4 linked regions of the Ovis aries genome follow. The protein of the gene in region 1 purifies or fractionates together with the protein of each later gene. This does not show direct contact. Links are inferred from orthologs where the notes say so. Each region holds a gene or a part of one and is shown on either strand. Other genes may lie near its edges.

Region 1 (8,014 bases):
AGAGCTATACTTGACATTACTCCTCAAATACCTAATATATGCCTCTAATTTATCAAGTTCAAAACTGAACTCGTGGTCTCCTCCAAGTTTACTCTTCCCCAGTTCAGTTATTGGCAACTCCATCATTTCAGTTGCTCAGGACAAAAACATTAGAGTCAACTTTGACTCCTCTTTTTATCTCAACTTTCATATGCAATCTGCAACTCCTGTGGCACTCTTAGTTCCCTGTTTAAGATATACCCAGAGTCTAATTCACTACCACTACCATTGTCCAAACTCCTAGTTATCTGTTGTCTAGATTATTGCAATAGCATCCAAAATGATCCATAGTCCAGTCTGCTCTTAGCCAGATGTCCTTTAATAACATAATCCAGAACATTTCACCTATCTGCTCAAAATTCTCCAATGGCTCCCAGGCTCACTTAGTGTAAAAGCCAGTCCTTAAGGACCTTCAGAACTCTACAGGATCTGGCCTCCTGTTACTTCTCTGATCTCATCTCCTACTGTTTCCCTCCTTGCTCACTCTACTCTAGCCACCCTTGCCTCCCGCTCTTATCAAGACAGTCATGATCTAGCTTCAGGATCTTTAGACTTGCAATATCCTCACCTATCTCCACGGCTCACTCTCTCATTTCTTGCAATTCTTTGCTCAGGTATCTTGTCAGGATATGATGTGAATGAATGATAGGACTTGAATAGTTGCCAGAAGGAGGTGTTTGAGCACTAGCGCCACATATTTGCCCTTCTAACAGAAGTCAACATGCAACTTTCAACCTTTACTGAGCACCCATTATATATTAATATAAGACGAACATGTATGATTGGCTGGTCTTAGTAACAGGAAACACTGAAATGATCTTATTCCTTTAAAAGATTCTTGAACATTTTCAGCGCATACTGGAACAAATATTTCTTGAATGTTTTCAGCACATAGTGGAACAAACAAGTGAATTCCTTAGTTATTGAAAAGCAGCATCTATTAACAAGCAGGAACAGACATCTTGTCAGATATTATAGGGCTTCCTCCTCCTAGACAATCAGAACCGACAAACACAATCCCTCTGTCCAGGCAGTATTTAAATCACTGCACTATTAGAACACTTAGTTCCAGACCTAGTTTTACTCTCAGCTTGGCGGGTGACAATAAATTATCTCTTTTATTATTTGAATTATTTATTTCCATGATAAAATGCTTAATCTCATCCACTTCTCAATTCAGGTTAGGAAAACAGGACAATATATACTTGGGTGTTACAAGCTGCCACAATTACATATGCATTACAGGGTCTGAGAACAAAAAGTCTTTGTCTTAAATCTAAGAATGTCTGCTGCTGCGGCTAAGTCGCTTCAGTCGTGTCCGACTCTGTGCGACCCCATAGACGGCAGCCCTCCAGGCTTCCCCGTCCCAGGGATTCTCCAGGCAAGAACACTGGAGTGGGTTGCCATTTCCTTCTCCAATGCATGAAAGTGAAAAGTGAAAGTGAAGTCGCTCAGTTGTGTCTGACTCTTGGCAACCCCATGGACTGCAGCCTACCAGGCTCCTCCGCCCATGGGGTTTTCCAGGCAAGAGTACTGGAGTGGGGTGCCATTGCCTTCTAAGAATGTCTAAATCGGGACTATTCAAAACTGGTCTTCCGTTTGTGGTAGATTTAAGATCTTTGCTTTTCTTCTTTTTCCTTTTTTTAACCCAAATTTCACTCAACACCACTTGTATGATTTAACGCATAGCTTATTCCAGTTCACACATACTAGTTTTTCAGTCCAGCCTAACCCAAAACAAAGGAGAAACATGATCAACTAGAGAAATTAAAAAGTGTAGTTAGTTCATCCCAGGAATAGATTTGAAGGTAAGATGATGGGGAAGAAAAAGGAAGTAATGAGGGAAGATATGAAAATAAAGGAAGGAGAGTCATGCTAAAATTATTAAAATGGCTCAATTCAATCCAACAAGTGTTTATTGAGTGCAAAGCATTTCCCTGGTCTTTTTAGTAATGCCAAGGTGAGCAAGACAATCTTTGCCATTAAGGAGTTGGGAGTAGGAGGTGAAGTAAGAAGGGCAGCTGCTGCTGCCGCCGCCAAGTCGCTTCAGTCGTGTCCGACTCTGTGCGACCCCATAGACGGCTGCCCACCAGGCTCCCTCGTCCCTGGGCTTCTCCAGGGAAGAACACTGGAGTGGGTTGCCATTTCCTTCAATGCGTGCATGCATGCTAAGTCGCTACAGTCGTGTCCGACTCTGTGGGACCCTGTGGACAGCAGCCCACCAAGCTCCTCTATCCACAGGATTCTCTAGGCAAGAATACTGGTGTGGGCTGCCATTTCCTTCTCCAATTAAGAAGGGCACAAGTTGTTATTAAAACACAGAGTACATAAAGGAAATACAGGGAGAAGAGAACTGACATTAAGGATATTTTGATATGCCAGGGGGAGTCACATACGTTAACTCACATATGTTAACAAGCCTTCCAAAACTTCCAGGTAAGCTAGAGGAGGATAGGTAACTTGTTCAAGGTCATTTAAGTGAAAAAGTCTACACTGGCTTTGTCTTCAACCCAGGTTGCAAAGCCTAGAGCCTTTCAGGGCACCATAGCTAAGGGGAAGCTCGTGGGAGGAGATTGAGTTAAGACAGGAGGAAACAAAGAGATCAGAAAAGCTATTCAGGGCGGCGAGTGAGGTGGGCCTCGAAGATGAACAGGCGATTGGGCAGCCTCATGTGAGGAAAAAGGGAGGCACTTTCGGCTCAGGAAGGAGTGAAGGCTACTGGCCGCCCTGCCAGTCCTCCGGGTTGACCAGTCAATCTAGGCTGAAAAATTGTCATCCGGTGGCTCACTTCTCCAACCCAATCCCTTCTTCGCCCCCGTCTTTTCCTTTGGGGCTTTTCAGCGTTCACCAGTTTCAGCGTTAGGCACCTGTACTTTCTCCTTTGCTCTGAAACTGGAAAAATCTCAAATGTTCTAAAAAGGACCACTGAGTCCCTTGGACGACGGTGGGGGTCCGACCGGCGCTCCTGACACAGCGCCCTCTCTCCCACCTCCTCAGCCAGGCCTCCACCCGCGGAGCGGCATGCGCCCCGGGGAAAGCGTGCTCCCCCGAGAGCCGGGTTTCCGCCAGTGGGCGCGGCGGGCGGGAGGCCGGGAGGGGGTCGCCGCGGTGGCCGCGGGGCCGGCGGGGCCGCGACGGGCGGGGCGGGGCCGCGGCGGGGCGGGGCGGGGCCGCCGGCGCACCTGCCCGGCGCGGCGGGATTCGCGGCGGCTGCGCAGACGACGTGCTCCCCCCTCCCGTTCCGCCGTGTGTTTACGTGGAGACGAAGATGGCGGCGGTGGTGACGACGCGGCCCGTGCGGCTGAGGACGGTCAGCCAGTGAGCGCGCAGCCTGGTTCCGCTCCGGGAGGGGCGAGCGCCCGGCCCGGCCCTGCGCCCTGCGCCGCGGAGCTTGCGGTCCCACCCCCGTTGGAACCGACCTTGCCTTCCCGTCCCCGACCCCCTGCCTGTGTTCCCCCCAGCCTTCCCCGCAGAAGCTATGGAGGACGAAGAGAGACAGAAGAAGCTGGAGGCTGGCAAAGCCAAGGTGAGAGAGCCGGAGGCCGCCCGGCCTGCGCTGGGAGGCGGTGGCCGGGGAGGGCTGGCAGGGGTCCTGCGAGGCGGAGGCCTCAGCTTGGCAGCCCCGGCGCGCTGCCTGGGACGGAGGTGCGGCGGCGTCTGCCGTCGCCTTGCCCTCGTCTCCCTTTTCTAATTGAAAAAGCCTGGTGAGACACTACCTAGCGGTTATTTCCGTGATGACTGGGTGGTGTGGCTCCTTTCTCGTGAATGCCCACATAAAACCTCTCCTTTTTACTGTATAAGCTGTTACAGCTTGCTTCTGAATCTCCAACCTTTGACTTGTTTTGAGGGAGTTTTCTGGGTTGTGCAGACATTGTGCTTTTCAGGGTGGGGATTTGGGGCTCTTCTTTATTCGGGTGGGGATTTGTACGCTCATCATCGGCTTGGCTTTCTTAGGTGGCACGCTGGCACTCTTGAGTGTGTGATTGGCCTGTGACAGCTGCCTCAGTCGTGGCTTGAGTGTGCCACAAGTGCCAGCTGTGAACTTCGCTGTAGGGGCGTTTTTAGAAGCATGGCTTTGTATGTTTGTGTTCGGAGGTCTTTGTCACGGCATGCGCCCTGTATTGTGTGGAATGTTACCGCAGTCTGTGAATGGAACTTACGGGGACGAAAGGGTCCATATTCCTAGCATCACCTATAGAATTCTTGCTTTCTTGTCGAGTCCCTATCTTGTATGTGTGTATGAAAAAGACTGTAAAGGAAACAATGGAAAAGGTTTTATTATTCACTGGGTTTCATGAACAATTTGACATAGACGAAATATAAATTAAATATAAATAGAATATTAATAATATTAAATATTAATACTATTAAAAGAAATAGAATTTAAAATTACTTGCTTGAGCATATTTTTTTGACTGGCCAAAAGGACCCCTTCCTCCCTATGATGAAATTACAGTTTACTGTATATTGTTTTATTAGAGATGATTGTTCACAGTCATACTTGCATCTCAATTAAATTATAAATAGTTTAACTGTTTCTTTTCCTCTCTGTCTCCTCCCTCCAAATAAGCAAAAGGAGACTGGGTCTGATTTCAGTAATCACTGAAGAACCACACTGCAGAGATACAATTGTAGATGCTGAACATAAGTTTCTTGACTTAATATAAATGTATAAACTATCTCTGTATTATCTAAGGTCAAACCTTAAGTGTTTGTATCAGGTAGATTGTTATTAGGATCTATACACAGGGAAAGGAAATCAAGGCATCTTTAAGATCTCACGTTGCTTACATTTCTGCAGTCTTGAGGATCTGAGCACAATCTATGAATCGAAGAAAGTGGAGGAAAAGTGTGTACCTCCTTCCAAAAGCATTGACGTTGTAGTTAGACGTTTTGTTTGTTTGCTTGTTACCTCAGTATTTTTACTATCTGCCTCCTGAAGTATCTCTCCTAAATATATATGAAGCCGTCCAAAAAACATAGTTTACTTTGGACAACACCTCTCATAACAGAGGACTTATTTAAATTGCTTTGGTTTGGCGAAAAAGAATTCTAGTTTCTTTGTGTGTATGTGTGTTTTTTGTCTTTCAAAATTCTGCCTATGGTATAAAAATCTTATCCTTTTAACATTCACTTTCATTGTGGAAGATTATCTTCTAGAATTGAGCTGAATTTTTCTAGTCAGAAAAGAATTCAAGACATGTAAGGCAAGATGTGTTTGCTGGAGCATTGGCACCAAAATATAAAAACACTGGGCAACCTCCAAAGACAGTGTTAGGAGAATCACTTTCTAAACTATATTATTTAAGCATGATAGAATATTTTTCAGCCATTAAGGTTACGAGGGCTGATAGGAACATGAACAGTAAGAACATGGACATAGTTCGAAAATAGTGTATACATTACTTCTTTTGTATAAATGTATGCTTTTATATTAGGACTTAAAAACTTTGGGTTGTGAGTGTAGGGTCGTTACGCAAACCTGTGTCAAACTCCTGTTTTACACCAAGCGCTGTAAATACAGAGATGGTGACAGTCTGTTTTCTGAAGTTGCTCAAAGTTTAGCAGGACAGATACTGGGTACTAAGTACAGTGAGGGAGGTGGTATTATAGAATTTGTGGCGAATTGTGTCATTTGTTAAAATGTGTTAAATGTTGCTGCCTCATTTTTAAGACTATTTTACAAAGAAGGTTCTTGATAATTGATATTTAATGCAGTCTAGCCTGACACCTATCAGATAGTAAGTATGCAGTAAATATTTGCTTAGTGAATGAATGAGCAGAGTGACCGTGAGCTGTTAATATGTGCTGCTTGACTAGCATATTGTAATTTAATAACAGTAATTCAGAATTCTTGTCATTGGAAGTCTCATTGCTGGCATTAGAGATCACTGAAAACAACCATTTCTAAAACTTTATTCAGATACTTGGTTCTCTGAATGTCTTGTTTGTTCATTGAATTTAAATACTGTATTTGCTAATCTAGTTTTACAGACCACAACTTGGAAATTTTCTTCTTGGTGTTTGGTAAACTATTCATTGAAAAACTTACTTCCTTTCTGTATCTATAAATGATCATTTTTAAAATGACCTGTTGTGAATTCAGTATAGTATACTTTATAAAATGTGTTACACCAACCAAAATTCACAATGTTAGAAGAATAAATTTGGTATGTGCGCTGTGCTTAGTTGCTCAGTCATGTCTGACTCTTCGCAACCTCACGGACTGTAGCCCACCAGGCTCCTCTGTCCATGGGATTCTCCAGGCAATAATACTGGAGTGGGTTGTCATGCCCTTCTCCAGGTGATCTTCCTGACCCAGGGATCAAAGCCAGGTCTCCCACATTGCAGGTGGATTCTTTACCGTTTGAGCCACCAGGGAAGCCCAAATTGCCATATATGTAGCCATCAAAATAATTCTGCAGAAACATTCTGATTTGGGAAAATGCCCACAAATAACACCAGATTGATAACAATGTTACCAAAAAAGATATATATACAATTTTTATATATGAAGACACCTGAAAAAAAATACACCAAGATATAAATGATGGGTATCTCTGGGTGGTAGGTTATAGGCAGTTTTAATTTCCTTTACACTCCTAGTATTTTCCAGATTCTCTGCAGTATATTTCCTTTATGACCAGTAAAAATGTTTACATGCCATTTTTGAAAACAGTAAAAGCTTATCAATTATAGTATGTTGAAGAGAATGTTAATATTGTTTGATCGTTATACAGAACAGGAAGATGAGCCCTAGGGTAACTAGGCTTCCCAAGGGCCCTGGCATCAGTGTAGTTCTGGAACTACAGTTCTTACTCCAGTGCTGTTTCCATTCTGTAGTTGGGATTCTCTGTTATTAGACATTTATATATCTCCTTTCTGGTTTTGTAGATCTTATGCTTTTTCTCTGTCGATTCTCATTGCCATGAACATGCCTATCTCCATCTAACCTGCCTCCTCCCTTAATTTGCTGTTTTAGATTTCCTGTGAGTAGCTTGAGGGGATGGTTTCGTTTGTAACAACCAAGCACTGATGGAGCCTTGTGAATGCGCTTTATGACTATTTCGTTTCTCTGCTCCTTGTTGGTTTTTTCATTTGCTGTTGGGTCCTCAATTACTTCCTCAGTACTGAGGTAGTAAGACGCATGACCTGTGGAGACATGAGACATTACTGCATTAAGTAAATATTTTCAGAACCAGGCTAACCTCGTTGCAAGGAGCTGACAAGGACAGCGCTACACAGGCCGTCCTTGTGTTGATCCAGACTTCTAACTCCACTTGAAGTGACTTCAGTTTTTTCCAAGTAAAATTATCTACAATTTTTTGGAAAAGAAAGTGTTGTAATATTAGCAAACAGAATTAGAGGACAGTTGTATATTTAGTGTAAAATTACTTCTGCATATTCACAGAATGTATACTTTTTAACATTCTACTAGCAGAATTCTATAAAACCACAAGTTTTTATTAGCTATTCAGCATTTAATATAATTGGCATTGTTGAATAATTATAAAAATTTTTGCCTGTTGCATTCAGTAAGTAATAATTATATGATTGTTTAATGAGGATTTTCCGTTTGAAAAATAGTGCTAGTTCTATACAAAAAGGACAGTGCTCTCTGCAAGTTGTGTATTAGGTTATTGATAATAGGACTCTTCAATTGTTATTTCCACTCTGATAGACGAAGTTAGTCATGGTGTGTAATTGCTCCTTGCATATTTCAGACATTCCCCTCCACCACTAAGAGCGTTGTTCTCCATCCCTGTTTCTTTTATACCTTCTAGTTTTTATTCTTATCTGTGACATAGCTTGCTTAGCTTTCAAAGTAGATACTGCAGTTTGATACCTTCAACATTTACTGTAAGAGTGGTGCATTGTCTGCGATTTAAAAAGCAACTCATGACCTTTAGTATTTGTTGGAAGAAAAAAGCAAAACGTGATTTTTAGTTTGTGAGCTTTAACGAGAGAATATGGA
Region 2 (7,987 bases), on another chromosome or scaffold:
CACCCATCTCCACTCAGGGTGGTTAGGAAGGGTTTCCAGGGCCAGTCAGGGGTCCACAGCCTTTTCCTCTCCACTTGCTCCCTAAACTCTACTGTAATCCCTCCTTGACTTGAGGGTCAGAGTGTGCCTGGGAAGTTGCTATAGCAACAGGGCTCAGCCTCACCATCGTTGGGGTTGGAAGCCATCACTCAGTCTTCCTCTCAAAGCACCCGGACTACGGTGGCTGGGAAGGCTCATGAGACCTGCTGCACCAGCTTAGCTGCTCATCACCAGAGCCCTGCCTATAGGGGGAGCCAGGGAGTATTGGGGTAGTGGCAGGAAAAGAAACCCAACCTGGGGGCCAGTAGGTGCAGGGGAGGGGCAGAGAACCCTCAAGCTTCTTTAAGCCCAGGTGGACTTAAAGGAAAAACTGTCTTGGCAGGACCCTCTTGGGCACCTGTACAACTGCCAACGCACAGACGGTGTTTGGCCCTCTCAGGCTTCTGTAGTATGTCATGAAGGCCACAATTCTTCCCATCTATGGACCTCTTGCGGAGAAGGCAATGGCACCCCACTCCAGCACTCTTGCCTGGAAAATCCCATGGATGGAGGAGCCTAGTGGGCCGCAGTCCATGGGGTTGCTAAGAGTCGGATATGACTGAGCGACTTCACTTTCACTTTTCACTTTCATACATTGGAGAAGGAAATGGCAACCCACTCCCGTGTTCTTGCCTGGAGAATCCCAGGGATGGGGGGAGCCTCGTGGGCTGCCGTCTATGGGGTCGCACAGGGTCGGACACCACTGCAGCGACTTAGCAGCAGCAGCATGGACCTCTTGGGGGCAATTCTCATTCTCAGAGCATGAATCTTCTGGTCTCTGGGACCTGGGGTAGGGGTTGGGGGAGGTCTGGAGGGCTTCCTCTTACCAGTCCTGTACCTTCTTCCATGGACCAGCTCTTAGGAGTACCTTTTTGGCCAGGGCAGCCAAGGCTGGACCCCCAGTTGGCACCCGTCCCCAGGGCCTCTTGGGGCCACTGCCCTCTCTCAATTCCTCTAGCTTGTTCAGAGCCCTGGGCTTGCTCTTGTTTTTCCTCTGCCCTCTTAGCATCATACTCAGGCTACTGCCAGTGGCTCTGGCATCTTTGAGTACAGATTTCCCCCTTCCTTAGTGGCGCAGATGATAAAGAATCTGCGTGCAATGCAGGAGACCCGGGTTCGATCCCTGGGTCGGGAAGATCCCCTGGAGAAGGGAATGGCTACCCACTCCCACATTCTTGCCTGGAGAATCCCATGGACAGAGGAACCTGGCGGGCTACAGTCGATGGAACGGCAAAGAGTCTGACATAAGTGACTAACACTTTCCCCCACCCCATCCCCGGGCTGGTTCTAAATTCCTGCCCTCTTGAGAGGAGGCCAAGGCTGTCCTGCCCGAGCATGGAGACGGCAGCACAGGGGGCTCCAGGATGCCAAATGGTGCCTACTAAGGTTTGGCACTTTCCTTACTCTAGTTGGGCTGATGTCTGGCAGATGAAATTCAGGTGCCCCCTGAAGGCTGGCCTGGCTACTATCCCTACCCCCACCCCATCCTAGTTGCGGGAGAGGGCAAATTTTGCCTAACTCCATCCTCTCAGAATAGGAGCTTTGAAGCAAAAAAGGGCTTCTTTACTCATCCTGTCTCCTTCTCCAACAGCCCCTGCAAATCTCTGGAAGGAAGTACAGCTTAGGGTGTTTCCCAAAGTGTAACCAGGTCCCACTGGCTGGGGACGAACTGATGTTAAGGATATTTTGCCTTTCTAGTTACACTGTATCTTAAGGTGTACCAGAGAGAATATAACTGGTATAGCAATCCCATGATTTCATTTATATTATTTCTCAGGACAGATCAAAACTTACATCTGAACAAAAGTGAGTCAAAATTTTTATTTCCGTTAACAAAATAGAAGTGAATATAGTGAAAAATCAGGGGGGCAGCTTTGAGTTGGGAAATTCTGGGGTCCAGGAATTTGGCTGGTAGATGGAAATGGATGTGAATCCTGCTTCTGTGGCATCATCTATGTCAAACTCAGAGAGCTCATTTGTAAAATTCAGGTAACAGCCTGTTATGAAAAATCACTTGAGCAGAAAGATCTATGAAGACCATTTAGCCTGGCACATCCTAGCTGCCCAGTAAATAGTGGCTCTATTTTATCCTGATAGTCCCTTCCTGGCTGTCCAGCCTGTACTCTGAATTAGCGGTTCCTTCTGGAGCTTCTGATCTTTTTCTTGGGAATCCTTTTCCCTGTGTGGCTTTGCCACCCCACCTCTCTCCACTGCATGTGTTTGATACGCCTTGAAAGTTTTCCAGGACTATGGCACCTCCCCAACTTTCAACTGAGTCACTGAAATATACAACTGCCTGCTTCTACCTTCTACCTCTGGGCGGGCCTCACCTGCTGGGGGCCCAGCCCCTCCCCTTCTGTCTATCCCCTCCAAGCTCATGCCCAGACCATTTTTGGTCACTACCCACCTGCTCCTCTGTCATCAAGCGCTCAGCTACAGGCACTTGCCTCCCTTTCCCCCGCCCATCAGTGACATGTCAGGCTTCTCCATGGCTGCTCAGCAGCTATAAGTTCTGCTATTTGAATCTGGGTGGAAATAAAGTTCCCTGGCTTCCATGCTTGGGTCTTTCTGGGAGGGAGCATTCAGGGAACTCAGACACTGGGATCTGAGACAAATAACTGGGAAAGGCATATTTGGATGTGGCCATTCCTTTTCAACTCTATTTCTGGGTAACTGGAAAAGGATCCTAGTTGAGGCCCAACTTTAGGGCTGGAGTGATGACAATTTGAGAGCTGGATGACTTGAGGAAGGAGCTCAAGACCATTTCTGAAGGCATTTCCAGGTACAGAATCTCTTTCCCTGGCTGGCTGGAAAAGGCCTATATGATTTGGGGGCTTAAGGTGGAAACAGGGCCACCTCTGGGTGAACCCTGGGGATGATCAGAATCTGTCTCTTGGCAAAGCGAGTCATTAGATGTCACCCACTACTCTTCCTAACTGTCATCCCTTGAGTCCTCTTTCTCACCATCCCAGCTCTAGCTGAATGAGCCCTGGTAAACTCACTCTTAATCCCCTACTTTTCATCCCAAGCCAGGAGCAGGTAAAGAAGCCTGAGGGACTGGGTGAATGATCAAGCCTCAGTTGTGACACAACCATTTATTGAGGGGCCCTCCAAAGAGCCTAGAGCTCACTGCACAGCAGGAGATGGGAAGGGGCTCTCTGCTGAAACCCCTCACCCCCAAAGCCAAGGAAGAGGACGCATGGAGTTCCAGCACGATTGGCTCAAACCTGGCTTCGCAAGCACAGAAGCAGTTCTCTAGGTTCACAAACAGTGTGCGACCCCGGCCAGGGACAGACGCTTGCTTGGAGAAGGAAGCACAAGCAGAGAAGCAGTGACAGTGACAGGATGAGAGAGGGGCAGAGGGACCCAGAAAGAGCCTGTCCCCCATGCCAAGTGACACAGAAGGGAAAAACAATGCTGGAAGTGGCTCTGGGAAATGCTCAAGGGTGGGTTTGAAGAGGGGCTGTGATAAGGTGAAGAGGGGAAGGGCAGGAGAAAGATGGCGGGGGCTGGAGGGGGTAGGGGTGTGGTCACCAAGTGGCCAAGGTCCCTGTTGGGCGGAGGCAGACCCCATAGCACTCCCAGGCTGGCAGAAGCCTGGGTCGGGGTTTGGCAGTGAGTCTCATCTGTGGAAGAGGTGAGTGAGGAAGTGGGGGGGGATTAGAACCTAAGGAGAGGGGCCAGGAAAGTACGGAGTGGGGTGGTGATAGGGCCCCATGTGGGGGCCCAGCGGTCATACGTGCCATGGTTGGCAGTGACAGCTGAGGGGGGAGCACAGTCTTTGCAGTGGAGGGGCGGTTTTTGGCAACGGGGTTCCTACGAGGTCTTCTGCGGGCCCCGGGCCCCAACCTTGGACAGGCAGGGGGAAGGGGCGCCTGGGGGTAAGCAGAGAGAAATGGGGGGGGGCGTGGGGGGAGGGGCCAAGCAGTGATGGACAGGGAGGAGGCTGGCAGCGCGAGGCCGGGATCGGGGTCACGGCCCGGGCACTCACCGCTCTCTTGCTCACTGCCCTTCTTGGCGGCGGCGGCGTTGCCCATCGCGGCGGCGGCGGCGGCCGGGGCCGGTCCCGGAGCTGCGGCGCGGCGGGTGCTGGAGGCGGCCCGCGGCCCCGGAGCACGCTGGGCGGCGGCGGCGGCGGCCCCTCGGGTTGGCTGCGCTGGCTGAGGCGCCGCGACCCCCGCCCAGCCCCTGCTTCCCGCGTCTCTCCGCGCCCGCCCGCCCGGGAACCTCAGCCCAAGTCCGCTGCTGCTGTCCGTGACGCCCCCGCAGCCCGCAGCTCATTGGCCTAGGCCGCCCTGACTGACGGCGCTGCGCCGCCATTCATTGGCCCTTCGCGACCCTCCCGCGCTGCCATAGGCTCTCGGCCTCATGACGCGCTCCTAGGACGCTTGGCCACTCGAGCGCTTGCGAGACCCCAACCGGGCGGGCTAACACGTCTGATTGGCGGAGGCTTCCGACAGGGTCCGGGGTCCGCCCAGCGAGGATACCAATTGGTGGAGGCGCGCTGTCCGGCAAGCCCCGGCAGAACGTTCAGTGTCAATCCCTGGGTGAGAGGGCGGGGCGGAGGCGCAGTCTGCTGCCCCGGCGCGCCGGCGGCCGCTGGCCGGCGGCCGCGCAGCGCTCCGAGGCCCAGGAGGCGGTCCAGGCAGGCGTTCGCCCGGCCCCGTGCGCGCCGCAGTCCCCCGCCCCCGTTCAGTGCGGCAGCGGCTGCGGGCCAGCCAAGGTTGGCGCCTCGGCCCCCCCAACCCCAGCCCCGGCGCAGCCGCTGTCCACCTGCCAAGCGGGGGAGGGGCGCGGCAGGCGCCGCGGGTCATAGGTCGTCGGGCTGCCGGCCGTCGTCATTCATAAGGCCTGGCGCAGGATAGCAGCAGCAGGGTTGGGTCCAGGATGGGACCCTGCTGGAGGAGCTTCAGGAGGATGCTGGGCTCTGGGAGTGGGGCCCTCAGTAGACACCTCTTTGCTGGGTGCCTACCCTGGCCTCATGCCAGTAAGAGCTGGCACTTGTTACATACATTACTTCGCACCACACTCCTTTCACGTAGGTATTATTATCATCATTCCCATTTTACAGATGAGGAATCTGGGGCACAGCCAGGTTGAGGATTCCCTCTGGGCAGTGCAAAAGGAACCTTATCTCCTGAAACAGAGTAGCAAGATGCCTCTTCCTTCAGCGTGCGTGCGTGCATAATTAGTCGTGTCCGACTTTGTGACCCCATGGAATGTAGCCCATCAGGCGCCTCTGTTCATGGGATTATCCAGGTAAGAATACTGGAGTGGGTTGCCATTTCCTCTGCCAGGGGAATCTTCCCAACCCAGGGACTGAACCTGCGTCTTTTGTGTGTCCTCCAAAGGCAGGCAGATCCTTTACCACCTGGAAAGCCCCTCTTCCTTCAGGGTCGCCTTTAAATACAGACAGAGTGAGGACGGTCAGTTTCCCACCGCCACGTTTGTGACATTCGGGTCTGGCTCAGTCTATGCTGGGCTGGGGGTGGGGCACTGCCTTGTACATTGTAGAGTGTTCAGCAGTATCCCGCCGCCCCCCACCCCCCTCACCATGCCAGTAGAGCCTGCTTTTCTTCTGCTACTTGTGACAGCTAAAACCATCTCTGCCATGCTGAGCCGCTTCAGTCGTGTCCATCTCTGTGCAATCTCATCGACTGGAGCCCTTCAGGCTCCTCTGTCCATGGGATCCTCCAGGCAAGAATATTGGAGTGTGTTGCCATTTCCTTCTCCAGGGGATCTTCCTAAGGGAGAGATTGAACCCTCATCTCTTAAGTCTCCTGCATTGGCAGGCAGGTTCTTTTATCACTAGTGCCACCTGCCACCAAAACCATCTCTAGACATTGTTAAATGTGCCCTGGCTGGGTGCAAAACTGCTGCCCAGTTGAAACCACTGAGGTAGAGGAAAGCCCAAACAGGAAGTGATGCCAGGGGCAGGGAACTGGATGAGCTAGCCTCCCTCAGCTTGGGGAGGCTGACTGGTCTCAGTTCTACAAGCCAGCTGGCTGCTCTGAGCCTGGACTGGTATGACCTGTACACCCCACCCAGGAGCCATCTAGACCCATGTTCCTAAGTCCACCTTCGTTTCAAGGAGAGAAGTCTGGGTTTTCCTGTGAATTATGGGGAAATGGCTCACCACTTCACCTGGGGATGTGGAGTTACAAAGTAAGTTTAAGTAAAATTTAATACACGTATTGATATGTGGGTCCTCAGAGAGCAATGCTAATTTCTTCTGGTGGGTCAAGGTCATGACAAGTCTGAACAATCACTGGTTATGCTCTATCTACAGAACAGCTGGGTTGCTTAAGTTTTGACAAAAGAATCTTCCTGGACCTCAGTCTGGAATAAAACTATGACAAGACAATAAAAAGAAGCGAGTAAGAGAGAAAGGGGCAGTCAACCTACTGGTTGAGGCAAGAGGGCCCCCCCCACTGCCCCCATCATGAGGAGAGAGAGACAAAACCGCCTCAGCCTACTGGAGACAAAAGCAGAAAGAATCTAGATGAAGTGCTTTTTATTTTCAGATCAACCAAACATTTAATATAAAAACCCTTTAATACACAAACTGCAATCACAACAGCATCCACGTAGCAGCGCGGGAACAGGGGTGAGGGTGAGGAGCATGGCAGGGGAAGGAGGGCTTTCAGGGTCCCTACTGCTCCCCTGGTCTGCACTGTGGCCTGAGAACATGAGGTCTTGGCAGAGTGCAGACCAAGGCAGCCAGAAGCAGAGGAGTCCTGACACCAATATTGAGACAGAACAGCAGGCCCCTCCAACGCACCACCGTCTCCAAGGGGCAGCCTCCAGGGAAAGCCAGATCCAGTTGGGAGGCAAGAGGAAGGTGGCTGTGACCCAAAGGAGAGTCAGCCATCTACCTCAGCATCCTGCTGATCACCTTTTTGGGAACAGAGTTTTCCAGAGGGCTGCTGAATTGAAAAGTCTTAAAAAATCATCCTGGCAAAAGGACAGAAATTGTGTCCGAGTCTATCTTCTACCAAGACTCCTGGCCTGGGACTCCAGGCAGCTGGGTGGCTCTGCTCAGATGGTTGGGAAGGGAAATGAATGGCAGAGCCTTTGGCCCAGCAGGGTTGGAGCCTTGCCAGGCATTGACCAAGAAAGCCTCAAGGCAGGCCAGGGAGGTCTGTGGGAAAAGTTTTGGGTCAGTGGCACTCCTGGGATGACGGTGGCACAATGGCCCGCAGGTGGAATATATAGTGTGTGTAGAAGAGAGAAAGGACACAAGACAGAAAGAATTAAGAACTGAAGTACCAGGTTCTTTCAGGCCTGGGCAGTAGAGGGGAGATGACCCTCTGGGCCAGGGCTAGGAAAGACCAGAAGCCCCTTCCTTCCTGGGGGCCGAGTCTGGCCTGGATATAGCTGATGGCCCCAAAGTCCTCCATGTGGCCTTCCTAATGCTCTCCGGGAGGCCTGGCTGCCCCTTCCAGATGTGCCAGGAGAGACTGGCCGTGGTCCCAGCTGGGCCCAAGTAGGGCCTGGAGTCCCACAGTTAAATGCAGTCCATGGAGTTCTCAGGGAGGAGGCCCGGGATGCAGCCAGGGAGACCCAAGCCCTTAATGGGGGTGCAGCTGAGGGGGAGACCGCAGCCCAGGGCAGAGTCCTGGTTCTCTATGGCCTCCAGCCTGTCCATGTTGTTGTCCCAGTTGATGTGGAAGCGGGTCACCCGGGGGTTTGAGGCCAAGATGTTCCGCTGGAGCTGGGGTAGGAAAAGGAACACCAACCCTCGTTAGCATGCCCTCGTGTTCTCCCAGAAAACAGTGCACTCTCAGACCCCCTCCCAAAGCCCAGGAAGAACCGACTTTGCTTATTCCATTACCATCAACAATATGCGTGCAACTCCAGGGAAGGCCTGTGTGCCACAACTTAGGGCTGGGGCCTATCTAATCTTAAT
Region 3 (7,478 bases), on another chromosome or scaffold:
TAGACATGGGTTTGGGTGGACTCTGGCAGTTGGCGATGGACAGGGAGGCCTGGAGTGCTGCAGTTCATGGGGTCACAAAGAGTCGGACACGACGGAGCGACTGAACTGAACTATGTGGAAGATGTCTGCTGTAGCCTCAAAGAAATGCAAGTTATTATTTTTGAACTGTAATGTAAGAACATCCATTAAAGTACCTAGCACATAGCAAATGTTTGGCAAAGGCTTTCTTCCATTCTCCTCAGACCGCCTCTGACGCTTAAATCGGTTTTAACCAATGAAAGTTTGGGTTTTCTTGTTTGCTTCGTTTGTTTGCTGCCCCCAGCACTTACCATCCGCGAGTCTTCACCTGCCAAACCTGGGCTTCTATCCCCTCTTGAAAATTCTGGCAACCACGTGGCCATGCCTTCCCAGCCTGGCCCGAGGCCCCTCCACCGGACCCCGGGTCTGGAACAGGGCAGACTGCCAACCACGGGGCAGTGGGCACTGGAAGGAAGCAGCTAGTAGGGCTCTGCCATCACCTCGTCAGGGCAGGGGGCGGAAGGGGAGGCCAAGGAGCCGGTTCCCCCTGGGCCCCTCCGAGAAGTCCTGGACCAGTGCCTGATCCATCTTAGGACTCACTCACCCTTGAGAAACAGCGTCTCCAGCTGCTCCAGCAGCGCCGCGCACTGGTGCAGCTGCTCCTGGAAGCCCTCGGCCACGCACTGGTCCACGTCGCTGGCCTGCAGCAGCTCCTCAAACGCCTTGATCATGGTGTTCACGTGCTGGCGGTAGACGACGCAGATGCTGTGGCTGTCCTTTATCTGCTGTCGTTGGAGGGAGAGTTCCCTGGCTTGGGCCTGAACTAACGAATCGTACCTGATACAGGAGGGAAAAGGAAACGCTGGCACCCATTTTAGAACTGGATTTCTGTGACCTTAATGCTAATCGGAAAACTGACAAAGCAGGATTTTGAAAAGCCTGCAGCTGTACAAGTACCTATACTTTTGGAACAACTGCAACTACGCAAGGTCCCGACTCTTTCGATTTCAAAACAGCCAACAAAGCCTGGAACAGAGGTTCTTCCGCAACACTTTTAACCTTTATGAAGCCCCCACTTAAAGTGCAGACTGGCAAGGACTCAGGAGGACGATTAGTTTCCACTCACTCTTTAAAAATACTACTCGAAATTTGTAGAAACGAGCGCGCCAACGGGCAGGGGAGCCAGCACAAATCCTCAGGAGAAACAAAAAGGAAACTGAAGGCGAGAAAACAAGACGAGGACTGAGCTCTGGAGGGAGGGCCACAAGGCGACTCTGACCTTGACGGCCACGCACAGGGGAACCGAGGCCGGTGAGCCCCGGAAGTAGGCGTGTTTCATAAGTTGCCTATTCCTCGCACGTAACAAATGCACGAATATCTCCCTTTACAGGAGAGAAAACTGCCTCTTAGAGGTGGCAAAGTCGGTTAAATGGTGAAGGTTTGTGACTTGATAGGGCTCCGCCTTCAAAGCCTAACTGAACCAGGCGTCACGGCCTCGGGTAGCCCGTCTGCCCGTGTGAGCCCGCGAGGATCCGCCGACGCTGAGAAAAGCGCAAGTGGAGGGAAGCGGGGCTCCGTCTTCCTTACCGACTGCAGCTGCAGGAAGGTGGCCCCAGAGTGGCTGGGCAGAAACCCCGACCCCTCGCTTCACTACATCCCTTGAAATGATGAGCAGTGACCACCTTCGAGCCCACGTGAGCAGAGAGGTCACGTGACCACAACACCGCAAATGGGGCCAGTTTAACGAATGAGACAAACCCTGGGCTCCACGAACCCTCCCGGGCCGCCTTCTCGGGCACGGCAGCCTCTCTGAGGCTCCATTTCCTCGTCTACAAACACAGGGTCTGAGAACACCTCTTCTCAGGTGGCTGTGGGGGTTCAGTTAGAACAATGCGTAACGTGGGGTCTGACAAGGCTGCCCTTCAATAAACACCAGCTGCCTTCAATCACACTGCATGGGAAGCCCTGAAAAACGCACTTTGGCTCCTGACAATTCTGAACAACGTGTCTGTCTCAAATTAGTGACGAGTGAAGGTCAGCTTTACAAATGACCCCATGCTTGTCAGATCTCATGAAGCAAAACTGTGTGTCTCCAAGCCCATAAAACATGTCTTCACGACCCAAGAATTCTTCTCTTTCAACACAGGCTTATTTCTCTGAGATGGCCTTAAAGGGTAGAGATACAGACACTATTATTTTCTCCCCACCCTGCCTAGGACAGCAGTTTCCGTGTCCCCCACCCCCTCCCCTGCAGGACAGTAAGAGCCCTTAACAGGGTCAGGAGCAAACACTGCCATTTAGCAACCATACTATGACTCACCAAGTGGCCGGTCTAAAACCTTCACCCTGCACCCCCCGACCTGAGGAGGACAAGACCTGCTCGGCCAATTCCCGAAGGCACAGGCCGAGTGTGGACACCGCCAGGTTCCGTGGCCTCCCACGCCACCTCCCCGAAGGCGTAGCTGCCCTACTGTTACTGTTGTTGTGCAGTGGCTAGGTCATGTCCGACTCTTGAGACCCCATGGACTGCAGCACACCAGGCTCCCCTGTCCTCCAGTATCTCCTAGAGTTTGCTCAAATTCAGGTCCATTGAGTTGGTGATGTGATCTAACCATCTTGTTCTCTGCTGCTCTCTTCTCCTTTTGCCTTCAATCCCTCCCAGCATCAGCGTCTTTTCCAAGGAGGAACTGCCTCAGCCGGGCCTTGAAAGACTTCCCTGGCACATGCCCAAGGTCCCTGCAGGGCAGCACCCCTTCCCAGGTCAGGGGCGCCCACCTAGTGGCAACGTGGGGAAAGGCAGAGGTGGGACGTACCTGGAGGACGAGAGGTCTCTGATCTTATTCTGCAGGTTATGGATTCCACCGAAAAGCTCCACGTTCAAATTCTGCTCCTGCTGCAGCTCACACTCCTGGCCCACCAGCTGCTGTCCGAGGCTCTCCGGCCGCCCGCCGTCCATCATCTTTGGCCCCAGCGGGTGGAGGATCTTCATGTGCTTCACAAAACGGACCTGGCGCAAACTCGAGAAGGTCATTTCTTCCTCGTCGGCACTGCCCTTGGACTTGCTCAAGCCGTCCTGGGCCCCTTCCGTCCCACACAAGACCGTGATGACGGCCTCGCTGAACCGGGAGTGCCTCTGCAGCTGCAGGATGAAGCTCCGGTAGCCCTCGAGCTCCGTTTCCAGGTCACAGATTTTCCGTTCTAAGTTTTCTTTATCGTTGGAGGTATCAGTGCTCTCCAGCGGGTCAGTCCCAACCACACTGATTTTAGTGGAAAACTGACTGTTGGAACTCAAGTGTGTAGCTGGGAAGTCTTCAGAGGGGTCCTCGTCGCCTGGTGGCAAGATGGCAGGGTCATCTGGCTGGTAAACTTCAGAGCCTGGAAATCAAACCACGTTTATGTCAGTCTCTCCACTGCTGAAATCTAGCCCTCTGCCCTGGCTCACAGCCCCCACCGAGCAGAGACCATGGGAGCCTCCTGCCAAGCCCCTCTGGCTCGAGTCCTTCCCTCTTCCTTCTCAATCCAGCCTCCTCCTCAGAGCTACTGTGCTAAAAAGTGAATTACACCCTGATAACCAACCACCCCACCTATACCTCACCCAGCCCCCTACCATCTTGAGGATTAAGTCCAAACTTCTCACAGTATCTGAGACCCTCCATGATCAAGTTCCAGGCAACCTTTGCAGGGACACGTTCAGCCACCCCCTACGCAGGCTCCCTACTAAAGCAACCATCATTCCCTGCATACAGCAGGCTGCTCATGCCTCCCGGCTTCCGCATGCACTGTTCCCCCTTGGCCACCTACTTTACTCCCGCTCAACGAGCTCCTACTCATCCTTCAGCACCCAAATCTGATTGTCCTTCTCTGTGAACCGATGTTCAAACTATGCAAACAGTCACTCCCCACTGCGCTTCCATGGTACCTGACACGTAACACCCAAAACAGACATGATCACGTGCCGGGTGCCGGGTGCCGGCACAGGACGGACATCTGGCTCATTCATTTATTTACACGGCAGTTAGTTACTGGGTTCCTCTCCCTTACTGGGCTGCATGTTCCTTCCCAGCAGGAACTGGCCTTTCATCTTCACATGCTCAGCGCCTCGTACAGCACCCAGCCCAGACCAGACGTGAATGAAGGGCGGACAAACGCTGGACAAAGAGTGAAGTAACATCAAAGACGAGCAATTCTGAAATCCTCGGCAGATGAGAAGTCACCTCGTCTCCATGTCTACCAGCTTCTGGGAGATGCCGTGATGTCCCCTACAGCGAGGAGGTATTTGGCTGACTCATAATCCTGCCAGGAAACATCTCCTTACAGCTAGTTTAAATCCCCACGTTTGCAGCCAAACTCCTGTGAGAGGCAGGGTGGTGCTGCAGGAAGAACACACAGCTTTGAAGACAAAGCAGAGGGGGCTCACACCCAGTGGGGCCGCTTGCTGGCTGCACAGACTCAGGTGAGAGCTCACTGCCCAGAGCTCTGGTTTCCCCAAGCAGTATCTCGTTTGTTGTTGTAAGGCTTCAAGCTCAGGCCTGAGTCTAGAGCATCCGTCCTTAACCACACGCCACACTGCCTGCCGTCCAAGGGAAAGCTCAGCTGAGTACAAGCACCTGTCTGCCTACGTAAAAGGCAGCAGAACATAGGAGAAACAACTGTCTCTGAAAGCCAACGGATCTGGTTTCACACGAAGGCTCTAATCACTTAATGGCTGTGTGACCTTAGGCAAGTGCCTTAGCCTCTCTGAGCCTCAGAAGCTTCATCCGCAAAAGGGAGAGAGCACCCTGTATTCTGCTTTTGTCTTTAGTATCCAATGGGACAGAATCCGCAAAAAGGCTAACAATGTCTGGCACATAGCAGTGAGGGAGACCAACCAATATGATTATGCTTTGCTTTCCTGAAGGTGTTCAAAGACGGGAGAGGACGCCTATTCCAGGAGAGACACGTGAGCAGAGGCTTGTGGACTTGGGGAAACGTGGGCAAGGCAGCAGGGTACGCTGGTTGAGATGACCAAGGAGACCACGCAGAAGGAAAGGCGTACGCATGTCCTTGTCAGGCTGTCTCATCCAGCTTCTGGGTTCTGCAGCTGCTCCTCGTGGCTGTAAGCCCATTCTTGTCCTTGCTCACGATGCAAATACCATAAAATAAACTTCTGAATTTTAGAAAGCCACTGCTACGTGACCTCAGGAAAGCATTCCTAACAGAGCATTTCTACTGCACAAGATGTGTTATAATCACTAGCTCTGAGGGCCTTCAGGGTGGGGACCATGTCATTCATCTCTGCTTCTCCAGGGTCTGGCCTGGGGCCTGGGACAGAGAAGGGACTCAGGGAGTCCTGCTGGCTGAACGTGTATGAGAGAGACAGAGGGAGAAAGCTCAACAAGACTTTTTTCCTATGAGTCACACTCCAAGGCAAGGAAATAGCTCTGTTCTAACAACCTCCTGATAATGGAATTTCATGGCAGAAGTGATGTTCACTCATGGAAATAAAGATCAGTTCTGATGACTTTCCATAAGTAATCATGAGGCAAAGACAAATGGAAGCCCCGTACAAGTGTCCTTCTGTGATACAGACTGTGGCCACCTCTGCTGTCTAGACACGCACACGCACACACACACTCCCATCACAGCTAGGAGCTGTCCTCCTCACACTCCCACTTGCACAACCTTACAGCTCCTTTAGACACTTGACTCTCAAAATTTTGACTTCAGAAATGTTCCTCAGCTACAGCAATTTGTGCCTTCGCAGAGGCAAGGGCTGACTCCCGGGCACCTGGGCCAGTACACAGCGAGTCTCACAGCTCAGCGCCAGCACGGCCACGCGGCTCTGCAGTCTGCTCTGGAGCCCGTCATAAGGTTCCAAAGCAGGAGTTTTGTTTTTTCTTTTTTCACTTAAAAATCACTGCATAGCAGTATTCACGGTAGCCAAAGCACGGAAAAAACCTACATGTCTATGGGCAGATGGATAAAGATGGGGTGCGTATACGGAATGGAATACTACTCAGCTGTAAAAAGGACAAGATGCTGCCACTTGCGGCAACTTGGACACAGCTAGAGATGATCACACTAAGTGAGTCAGAGAGAGACAGACACACACCCTGTGACGTCACTCCTAAGTGGACTCTAAAATACAGCACAAACGAGCCTGTCTGTGAAGCAGGACAGACTCACAGACAGAGAACAGGGAGGAGGGGCAGGGGGAAGGCTGGACGGGGAGTTCCGGCCTGGCGGATACAAACTGCTACATTCAGAATGGATAAACACAAGGTCCTGGGTACAGCCCTGGGAGCTGTATCCACAATTCTGTGATAAACCACCATGGAAAAGAATGTAGAAAAGGGTGTTTCTGTGCATAATTCAATCTCTTTGCTGTACAGTAGCAGTCCCCAGGGCCACTGATTTACGTTACAGGAAACACTGAAGTTCTGGACCTCCCTACAATGCAGCTAAGGGGCACTTGATTACCCGGGAGAGTGGCTTTCTCCTCAAAGCCCAGGGCCCTTGGAAACCTGGGAGCATGTCGTCAGCACCCTGACTGGAGGCTTCGGGAAGCGTACGCCACTGGGAACAGGGCCCACAGCCCAGGCTCTGGGTCTCCCCAGAGCCTGGACAGGGCTGTGTCCTCTGAGGCCAAACCGCCAGAGCCTAGCCCACTGCCTGGTAGAAAAGTGTCAGACAAACAGACTGTCCGCTCGGACAGACACCCAGCGGGCCACGACTCGTCCACCTACCTACCAGCCGGGTGGCCCTGGACCAATTCTCTTTCAAAACCCCAACCTCCCTCCTCCTTTGTTAACGGGGACAGTGAAGACGCCCCAAGATGCCCACTGCAGGGCCCAGTCCTGGTTCTCACATGAAACTCCCAAATGGTGCCCGGCACACAGCAGCTGGTCAGCAGGCACAGGGGGTGAATGCTGACCAGGCTCGTGGGCAGCCTGCTGCTCCTCGTCCCCTTCCCTGTCTCTCCAGACGCGGGGCGTGGCTTCCAGGCCTCCCTGCTTTCCCGGCCCGACCTGGTAGGCTGTTCCCACGAGGCGCTGGGCTACAGGCATCCGCAGAGAGAGAGCAAAATAAGTAAAACCCTCGGCTTGAAACTTAGCCAAGCAACTAAGAAGAACACAAAGATACAACAGGGAGAATGAAAACGCTGGGGAGGCAAAATGCAATTTATAAGATAAAATTAATCTATCGAGCTGCCATAACAGGACATAAAAAGCATAAATACACCGCAGCTTGTCGGAAATGGTTTAAGCCCAGGCTCTCGAAAAACCGTGAGTGAGAAAATGAATTCTATAGACTTATGCCCACCCTTCCCAAGAAGAGAGGCCCCCAGGGTCCACCGGGCAGCTGCCGAAGTAGCAACTGGCCAAGGCACCCCCGGGCCTCAGCAAGAAATCAGAACATTGTTCAGTGCAAACGGCAAGCCCCGGGCAAGGTGCCAGGGCCCCAGTGCGACTCAGCGCGTC
Region 4 (7,478 bases), on another chromosome or scaffold:
GCATCAGGGGCTCCTGAGGCTTGTGCTCGGGAGATGGAGAGGACACCACCTCCCCGTGACACAAGAACTGGATGTATTTTCTCACTGACACACGGAAAAGGACAGGGCTGCGGACCTTATTTGGAGAGCCAGAATTAAAACAAGTCAGCCCATCCGAAGGAAAAACTGGCACCACGGGTCAGCATTATGTTCTATTCATAGCACTGGATGAAAAAGACACTTCTTACAAAGAGAAACATCACACACAGGTTCAGCCGCCAGAAGCCTTTCAGTCTCTATGACATCCCAGCAACAGAGGCCAGATTCGCAGGCTGGGGTCAGGGGTGTGGGGACTGTAGTCCCTGGAGAAGGACAAGGGGGTGAGGAGTGGTGGCTAGGGCAAGGGACGTGTCACGTCCTCCCACCCCCAGCTGGAGAGGGTCAGCAGGGCCGTCCCCCAAGCAGCCGAGTGGCTCCAGGCGCTTGTGTGCTGACGATGAGCTACCTCCTTGGCCTAGGTACACTGGCGCAGGATGCAACCTCTCCTTGAGGAAAGGAAGCTGGTAAGAGGAGGCCGGGCTCGGTGCACACGTGGTGCTGGCCCCTGGATCCGTGTGTCATTGGCCCTATTCCTGCTTGCATCTTTTGGTGGGGGTTGGGGGTGGGGTGTGTGAATGGAGGCCACAGTCATAAAAGCTGGAGCAACTCTGATCACACCCTTGGTGGTCAGCAGTCTTTCAGAGTCTCTTAAGGAAGAGCACCTGGGGGATGATCAGGAAAACCTGAAGGAGAGAGCTGTCCAGCTGCCCTCAACATGAAGATCATAAGGAAACTCCCAGGGTAACTAGGGTGCTTCTTTTGGAAGGGACACACACAAATTGAATCTCTTCAGAGACTGGCTCCCCCCACCCCACTGTTCAGGCCCTCCTCTTCGTATGGAAAGCAGAGAGAACCAGGGGGCAAAGACATGCAATTGTGATGGAAAGATTTTACAGGAAAGGTCTTGAAGCTGTGTGTTGTCAACGTTCAGGGGTCATGGGCTGAATGAAGATGGACACAAGGTGGCAAAGAGGCTAGATTAAAACCCATAACTGCCTGGCACTCTCAGGACTCAGCCTCTTCCACTTCCCTCAATGATCCGCAAAGCAAAACACGTTTTCTTGTGTTAAAAAAGAAGTTAGCCTGCCCCTTCCTTGTTCTTGCTGGCTGAGGTGTTCTGGAGCCCTCTACCAGGCCCGCCTGGCCAGGCATGGTGAACACCTCCAGGGACCTGCTTCCAACTGCTAGCTCATGCATTCCAGGGCTTGTGGGAAGAAACCTGTTAAGCCCCTTCTGTGCCCTGTGGTGACAGAGGACGATTGTGGGGCTGGGAGTCCTCAGAGGTCCAATCTCATTACTGACCCACTGAGCCGCATAATTTGAACTACCTGCATCTTCAGTCTCTTACAGAAAGTTACCATGTAAGAAAAACCCATTTCTAGTAGACTTGCTAGTAAATTACTAGTAAATTTGGCAGAAACATTAATTTCACTTGATTAAAGTGTGCCTGGGCACACCTTGTTCCTCTGCCACAAGATCAGCTGGATGCCACAGGACTGAGGTTCTGGGAGTTCTCACAAAATGCTCGATCCACCAAATTCACCAACGTTCTACGCCCACTGCCCAGAAAGCACCGAGGAGGGCAGGACGCAAAGCGTAAACGTGAGGCATCGCGGTGAAGCACAGGGCCGCTGCCCCAGCACACGGCCGGGACCTGGGCTTCGGACATTCCTCAACCCGCCACCTGCCCATCGAGAAGACACCAGGGGGTAGTCCCAGTTCCCACGGGACACTGGCTGAAGCAGGAGAAATGGTTCACTTGGGTTGTTCCTGACCCCTGTCTGCCCCTACTGCCCTGACTGCAGGAGACCCTGACGCGACTTGAGGAAAAACGTTCGCATGTGGGCAAAGAGCTGCTCTGCTGAGGGAGGCACGGTAGCAAGCACAGAAGGACAGCGAGGAAAGCCACAGTGGGAAGAGGACACGGGGGGAGGGGGGGCCCTGGGACCAGGCCCTGCACCTCTGAGCACACTTGCCGCGCCAGACAGAAGAGACATCAGAAGGGGCACCAGAAGACAGAAGCCCTCGCCCCGAAGCACACTGCCAAGCGCTGGGCTCTAGAAGGCCTCTGCCCACAGCATTGCAGTGACGGCCGGCAACACACCATCCCTGCCACCCCTGCCCTGGCACTCTGCTGGGGGAACAGCTGGTCAACAAGATCGAGGACAGAGTCTTCAAGGCTGGATGTGCCCACAACAAATGGTGTGAGCAGGCTGGAAGCACCAGCCTGCACAGGGAAGATGGCCAAGGCTCCAAGGCTGCCCGGGGGCTGGGAGTCATGTGGAGGGCAGCAGGAGAGAGAGGGCCCTGTGGCACGTCCCAGCACAGCCTGAGGGGAGGGGTGTAGAGCCCTTACCTCACACAGCTCATCAAGGAGGCTCTCAACCAAGGGGCCAAGCTGCATTGAGGGGTACAACGTTACCCCATCAGTTAAAACACCAGAATATGGGAAGAAAGGGAAGGAAGGAAAGAAGGAATGCCTTTGAAACTATGACCTCACTCTGCTTGGAGCCCATAAGACCAGACCAAACGTGGAAAAGTCAGAGGCCCACAGCACCCGACCTGGGCGAGCTCAGGTGCTGGCCCACGGGGTGCGTACCTGTGAGGTGGACATGCGGGAGGTGTCTTGCCGGCCCGTGAGGTCAGATGAGGAGATGTTGACCGGGGCACCGCGGTGCAGCCGCATACTCACTTTCCGCTCTCTTTCCATGCCGGACACGGGCCTAGGAGAGGTGTTCGCTGGAGGAGAGGGAGACAGGGGCAAGCGTGAGGCCTCAGAATGCAGCCCCACACTCCAGCACAGGGTCTCTCCTTGAAAACCACGTCTAACAAGGACCCTCAGCTGCCTCAGTTTCAGGCACAGGACAGCTTACTGCACCCTAAGATTAGGCCGGCATCACAGGTTGATCCCTGGGAGTAAAGCACCAGGAGTCTAGTGGGAGGGTGGCTGGGGCCTCTGCCTACAAGGCCTGTCTTGACAGGCAAGGAAGAGGCTAAATGTTGTGTCATGAGAACAAGAGGCAAAGCAACAGAGCTCACAGGGAACATAATCCTTCAACAGGCCAACTTCTGAGAAATAGATATTATGGAAGGCACTATCCCAGGTGGTTCCCTGGCGTGTCTAATTTCGGAAGTAAGAAATGAACAGAACGAGGACGCACACGCTTCACCCACAAGGCACACTGCCCAGACCCCATGAGGTCACACACTGGAGTGTCCGGAGCAAGCGACACACAAAATAGAACCCCTATTGCCTGCAGCGCGGGGACCAGGGTGAGCTGCAGCCCTGGGACCACTCACCAGTGTGTGAGGTAGGGGTGAGGGGGGTGGGAGGAGCCACCTCCTGTGTCCCCCTCAGCCGGCCCGAGGCCGTGGAAGGGAGGCCGCGGGTGGCTGGATTTCGGGAGTGTCTCAATCGCTCCTCTCGGTCCCGGCGTTCCCGCTCAGCATCGTCAGCTGCCCGGCTGGCTCCCTATGGAGGAAAGAGGGCGACACCAGAACTGAACTGGGTTTGGTGAAAAACCACCTGAGGCCCTTGGCCACCACTCGAAAAAACACGGGGGCATGTGTAACAGGCCCCCCCGAAGTCTGCAACCTCTGACAAGTCAGGCATTCCTCCCTCCAGGGGCGCGCCTGACCCGTCCCACGACCGAGGGCGAGCGGAACCAGGCTTGTCTCCTTTCCCAGCAGAGGAAACCTCTACCCACTCGCCTTATCACTCCTCAGAACCCAACCACCAACAGCATCTGGCAGCCCTCATCTCTGCGATTATTCATGTGGGGATGGGAACCAGCGAAGGTCAGAGGCGGCCCAACGTGGCAACAGCTGGGGGAAGGTACCCATGCGACAGGCAGAAAGAAAGCACTGCATTTGGTCAGCTGAAGAGTCTAACCAGAGCCCAGACGCCTGGCTCGAGTCATCCTGCTAGTGTGCATGAGACGAGAATAGCCGCCAGGCTCGTCCCAGGTGGCGAGGCAGTGGGCACCACTTCAGCTAAACTAGCTGCTCCCAGAACAGCTAGTCAACACTTTCAGGGAGAAGCACAGGGACCCTGGATTTTAAGTGGTGACGCCAGGGTACCTGTCCTAGTAAAGGTTATGTCCTAATCACCAGCACCGTAAGGCAAGAATCTGCAAACTGCAGCCCATGGGCCAAATGCAGCCACACTCATTTGTGCAAATAGTTTTCTTGGCACAGTCATGCCTGCTCACTGACGCACTGCTTTGGCGGCTGTCCAGTTATACACAACACAGAGTCGAGCGGTCACAATGCCATACAGATGGCAGAGATAAAACCATTTATTGTCTGGCCCTTTATAGAAGAGGTTTGCCGAATCCCTGTAAAGGGTGACGATGTAAGAACAAAGAATTTGTTACAGTGGCTCTGGCAGGAAGTGCACCCTGATGTGCAGACTCCAAGGAACCTGCAGCACTGCCCCCGAAGGTTGTCCTTCGAAGGCCATCCTAATAAAGAGGTCTGGCAGGATGGCACGGGCCAGGTCCAGGGCACGCTGGCTCTGTGGGCTGGCACCAGCTTGAGGAGGCTGTGGTTCTCTGCCCTGATCTGGTCCGTGTGAGCACCCATGCACCCGTGAGGCCACGGGATAAGGCTTCCTGTTTTGCACTCTGAGGAGGAGGTTCTGTTCCTCCATCAGATTTTGTCACCCTAGAAACATGCCAATTTTTGTTTTAAGCTCACAGAACACATTTTTAATGAAAGAGGAAGTGCAAATTAAAACAAAAAACTGGGATTCTGGCTGTAGTGTCAAAGATTAAACAAACGCCTACAACAGACTCAGAGACAGGTGGCCTGTTTTAGAGGAAACAAACTGAAGTCCAAGCTCCCACTCTATCCCACCCCGAGCCCCGACAGTGCACGTGCACACAAACACGGGCTCATAATAATGAACAAACTGGGTGACGAAGGAAACCAAACGGTAGGTCTAGCTCCTCACAAGGCCACACGGAGACCTAAGACACGGTACCTCCCAGGCCACCCAACCCCTGGGAGGCTGGGCCTCAGCACAGCCAGGTGAGGGGAGGAGGGGAATGTCTTCACCCCGCCCGGTGGGAGTCACATCCCCTTGACAAGGAATTCACAGACCAGCGCAGTCACAACATCCTGAGGACCGCAGAGTTCAAATGAGAGCCCTGGTCTGGGCAGACCTGCACTGTGGACTCCATCGTGGCCCTGAGGTGCCTCCTTGGCTTGCCCGCTGGCATTTTGCTTCTCAGAACCCCTTGTGCTCCCCATGTGGCAGCCATGCCTCCTGAAGCCCCACCGCCTATAGCTCCCAGAAAGGGATGGCAGCAGCTGGCAGCCTTTTGCTGACAGGCAAGCCCCTTCCATGCTGAGTGGTCAGTGAGCTGGGGGCACACTTACAAATTTGAGCATGTTCCAGTCGAACACGTAGTCATAGGAGAAACCCTGGCGATGGAACAAGTTCCTGAAGAGCTGTCTCAGGTATGAGTAGTCAGGCTTATCGTCAAAACGCAAGGAACGGCAGAAATTTAGGTACGTGGCGAATTCAGCTGTAAACACCAGAAGATTCAGAGGTAACCAGCAGTATTCCTGCCTGAGAGCCAGAATGGTGTCTGTCCACAGAACCTCTGACCACTCACGGCCACAGAGAGAGGCTGCGAATGCTGGAGCCTGAAACATCAGGCATGCTTTGGGGAAAGAGGATGAGAAAACTGAGCACCACAGAGCATAACAGCTTCATCGGAGACACTTATCCCAGGAGAAGTCTCACAAAAACAAAAGGAAAACTCCCTGAGTTATGGCTCAGGAAGGCAGAGGAGCACCAGGGACAGAGGCTGTGGCCACTCGGAGGGGAGGCCACCTGCCCAGTCTTCAGCTCCCTAACTATGCAGGGCGCTGAGGGGGCTTTGGACAGCCAGCCTCTGGGGGGCTTCCCTAGTCCTTCTTCCAGACCTCACAGGCCCCTGCCCTCCCACAGAACTACAACTGGCTGACTGTCCACCAGACACTCACAAGGGTAGCCTTTGCACAACACCTCGATGGGAGTGGACATCTTCTTTTCACTGATCCTCTCATACTTCTGCCTCTTGGTAGCAGCCTTCAGGCCCTGCCAGGGCAGTGAGCCCAGGTTGAAGTACATGAGCACGTAGCCCAGAGACTCCAGGTCATCCCTTCGAGATTGTTCTGGATAGAGAGGAGAGCAGGTCAGGGTGGTGTGCCTGAGCATGCACAGCAACACCCCACAGATGCTGCCTGGGGATAAACTCAGAGCCTCAGAGAAGGACACGTGGAGTCTTTGCTTCTGCAGAAGCAACCCTGCTGTGCCGTTAGGAGATGCACTGCCACCCATTAGGAAGCCCCAGCACATGCTGTCCCTCACGCCTCACAAGGTCTGCAGGCCCAGATGCCAGCCTTTGCTACGAAGGTTTGGTGCCAGCCTCCATACCCAATGTGCCACAACCAACCCTCAGGGGCCCCAAGAGGCTGCAGGACAGCCAGGGCGGGAGGGCTCACCGATGCCAAGGTGTGTGTTGATGGAGGCGTACCGCGCCGTCCCAGTGAGGTTCTTGTTCTCACGGTAGGGGATGTGCTGGTGGGTGCGGGCGTCCCGGTACTTCTTAGCCAGCCCGAAGTCAATGATATAGACCAGGTTGCCCTTCTTACCCAGCCCCATGAGGAAGTTGTCCGGCTTCACATCTCGGTGAATGAAGTTCTTCGAGTGTATGTATTCAATACGACTAATCTGCAGGTGGAGAAGCAGGGGTGACAGGTTGAACCCCAGGCTGCAGCCTGGCAGAAGGAACCAAGGGGAACCCTGGCCCACTTGCAAACATGCCCTGGCCTCCATGGGTCACTATCTCTTGCACAGTTAACAAGCTTCTGTTTTCTCCGTATGCACGCATGGCACAAAAAGGAAGCAAACAACCCTGAAGGCCTCATCAGACTGATCAATCAATCCAGCCCTGTGCTGAGCACGTGGGCTGCCCTTCAGTGGAGAAAAATGAAGTCTTACCATTTGGTCAGCAAGGAGTAGGACGGTTTTGAGACTGAACTTCCTAGAGCAAAAGTTGAAGAGGTCTTCCAGGCTGGGTCCCAACAGTTCCATCACCATGACGTTGTAGTCCCCCTCAGCCCCGCACCACCGGATGGTGGGGATGCCCACTGCAAGAAAGTCTGCGTCAGTCCGCCTCCCGTGCATCTGCACTGAGGATGCCCGTGCCTGTGATGCTGATGGGGGGCGGCTGGGCAGGAGCAGTGAGCAGTGACGTGGGGAGAGGCTGGAAGGCCAATTTCACAGTGGGGGTGGAGTGAGGGGCTCAGGAGGAAGAGCCTCACTGGCTCCCACAACCGGGTCCCAGTCTCCCTACGACTGACATCCTGCACCAGTATGGTAAAGCTGTCACAGCTAATGACCCAAT

The links.
Region 2: the proteins of AKAP9 (region 1) and PRKACA purify together in Homo sapiens (affinity purification with mass spectrometry; 7 studies listed by BioGRID and IntAct, with this or other methods). This does not show direct contact. The link is inferred for Ovis aries from reciprocal best matches to the Homo sapiens genes AKAP9 and PRKACA.
Region 3: the proteins of AKAP9 (region 1) and CDK5RAP2 purify together in Homo sapiens (affinity purification with western blotting; 4 studies listed by BioGRID and IntAct, with this or other methods). This does not show direct contact. The link is inferred for Ovis aries from reciprocal best matches to the Homo sapiens genes AKAP9 and CDK5RAP2.
Region 4: the proteins of AKAP9 (region 1) and CSNK1D purify together in Homo sapiens (affinity purification with mass spectrometry; 4 studies listed by BioGRID and IntAct, counting the BioPlex papers as one, with this or other methods). This does not show direct contact. The link is inferred for Ovis aries from reciprocal best matches to the Homo sapiens genes AKAP9 and CSNK1D.

The regions. Positions count from the first base shown.
Region 1 is NC_056057.1:10,029,473-10,037,486, forward strand, and holds the start of AKAP9 (A-kinase anchor protein 9), read left to right. Parts: upstream 1-3,285; 5' UTR 3,286-3,517; coding exon 3,518-3,565; intron 3,566-8,014. UniProt on the Homo sapiens protein: Scaffolding protein that assembles several protein kinases and phosphatases on the centrosome and Golgi apparatus. Required to maintain the integrity of the Golgi apparatus. Required for microtubule nucleation at the cis-side of the Golgi apparatus.
Region 2 is NC_056058.1:9,911,148-9,919,134, reverse strand, and holds the start of PRKACA (cAMP-dependent protein kinase catalytic subunit alpha), read right to left. Parts: upstream 4,126-7,987; 5' UTR 4,116-4,125; coding exon 4,070-4,115; exon of another isoform or gene 186-4,069; coding exon of another isoform or gene 164-185; intron 1-163. Other genes in the region: histone chaperone ASF1B, read right to left, coding at 7,586-7,792.
Region 3 is NC_056055.1:3,072,708-3,080,185, reverse strand, and holds part of CDK5RAP2 (CDK5 regulatory subunit-associated protein 2), read right to left. Parts: intron 3,394-7,478; coding exon 2,832-3,393; intron 856-2,831; coding exon 623-855; intron 1-622. UniProt on the Homo sapiens protein: Potential regulator of CDK5 activity via its interaction with CDK5R1. Negative regulator of centriole disengagement (licensing) which maintains centriole engagement and cohesion. Involved in regulation of mitotic spindle orientation.
Region 4 is NC_056064.1:50,124,328-50,131,805, reverse strand, and holds part of CSNK1D (casein kinase I), read right to left. Parts: intron 7,222-7,478; coding exon 7,073-7,221; intron 6,803-7,072; coding exon 6,574-6,802; intron 6,244-6,573; coding exon 6,073-6,243; intron 5,610-6,072; coding exon 5,461-5,609; intron 3,551-5,460; coding exon 3,379-3,550; intron 2,818-3,378; coding exon 2,678-2,817; intron 1-2,677. UniProt on the Homo sapiens protein: Essential serine/threonine-protein kinase that regulates diverse cellular growth and survival processes including Wnt signaling, DNA repair and circadian rhythms. It can phosphorylate a large number of proteins.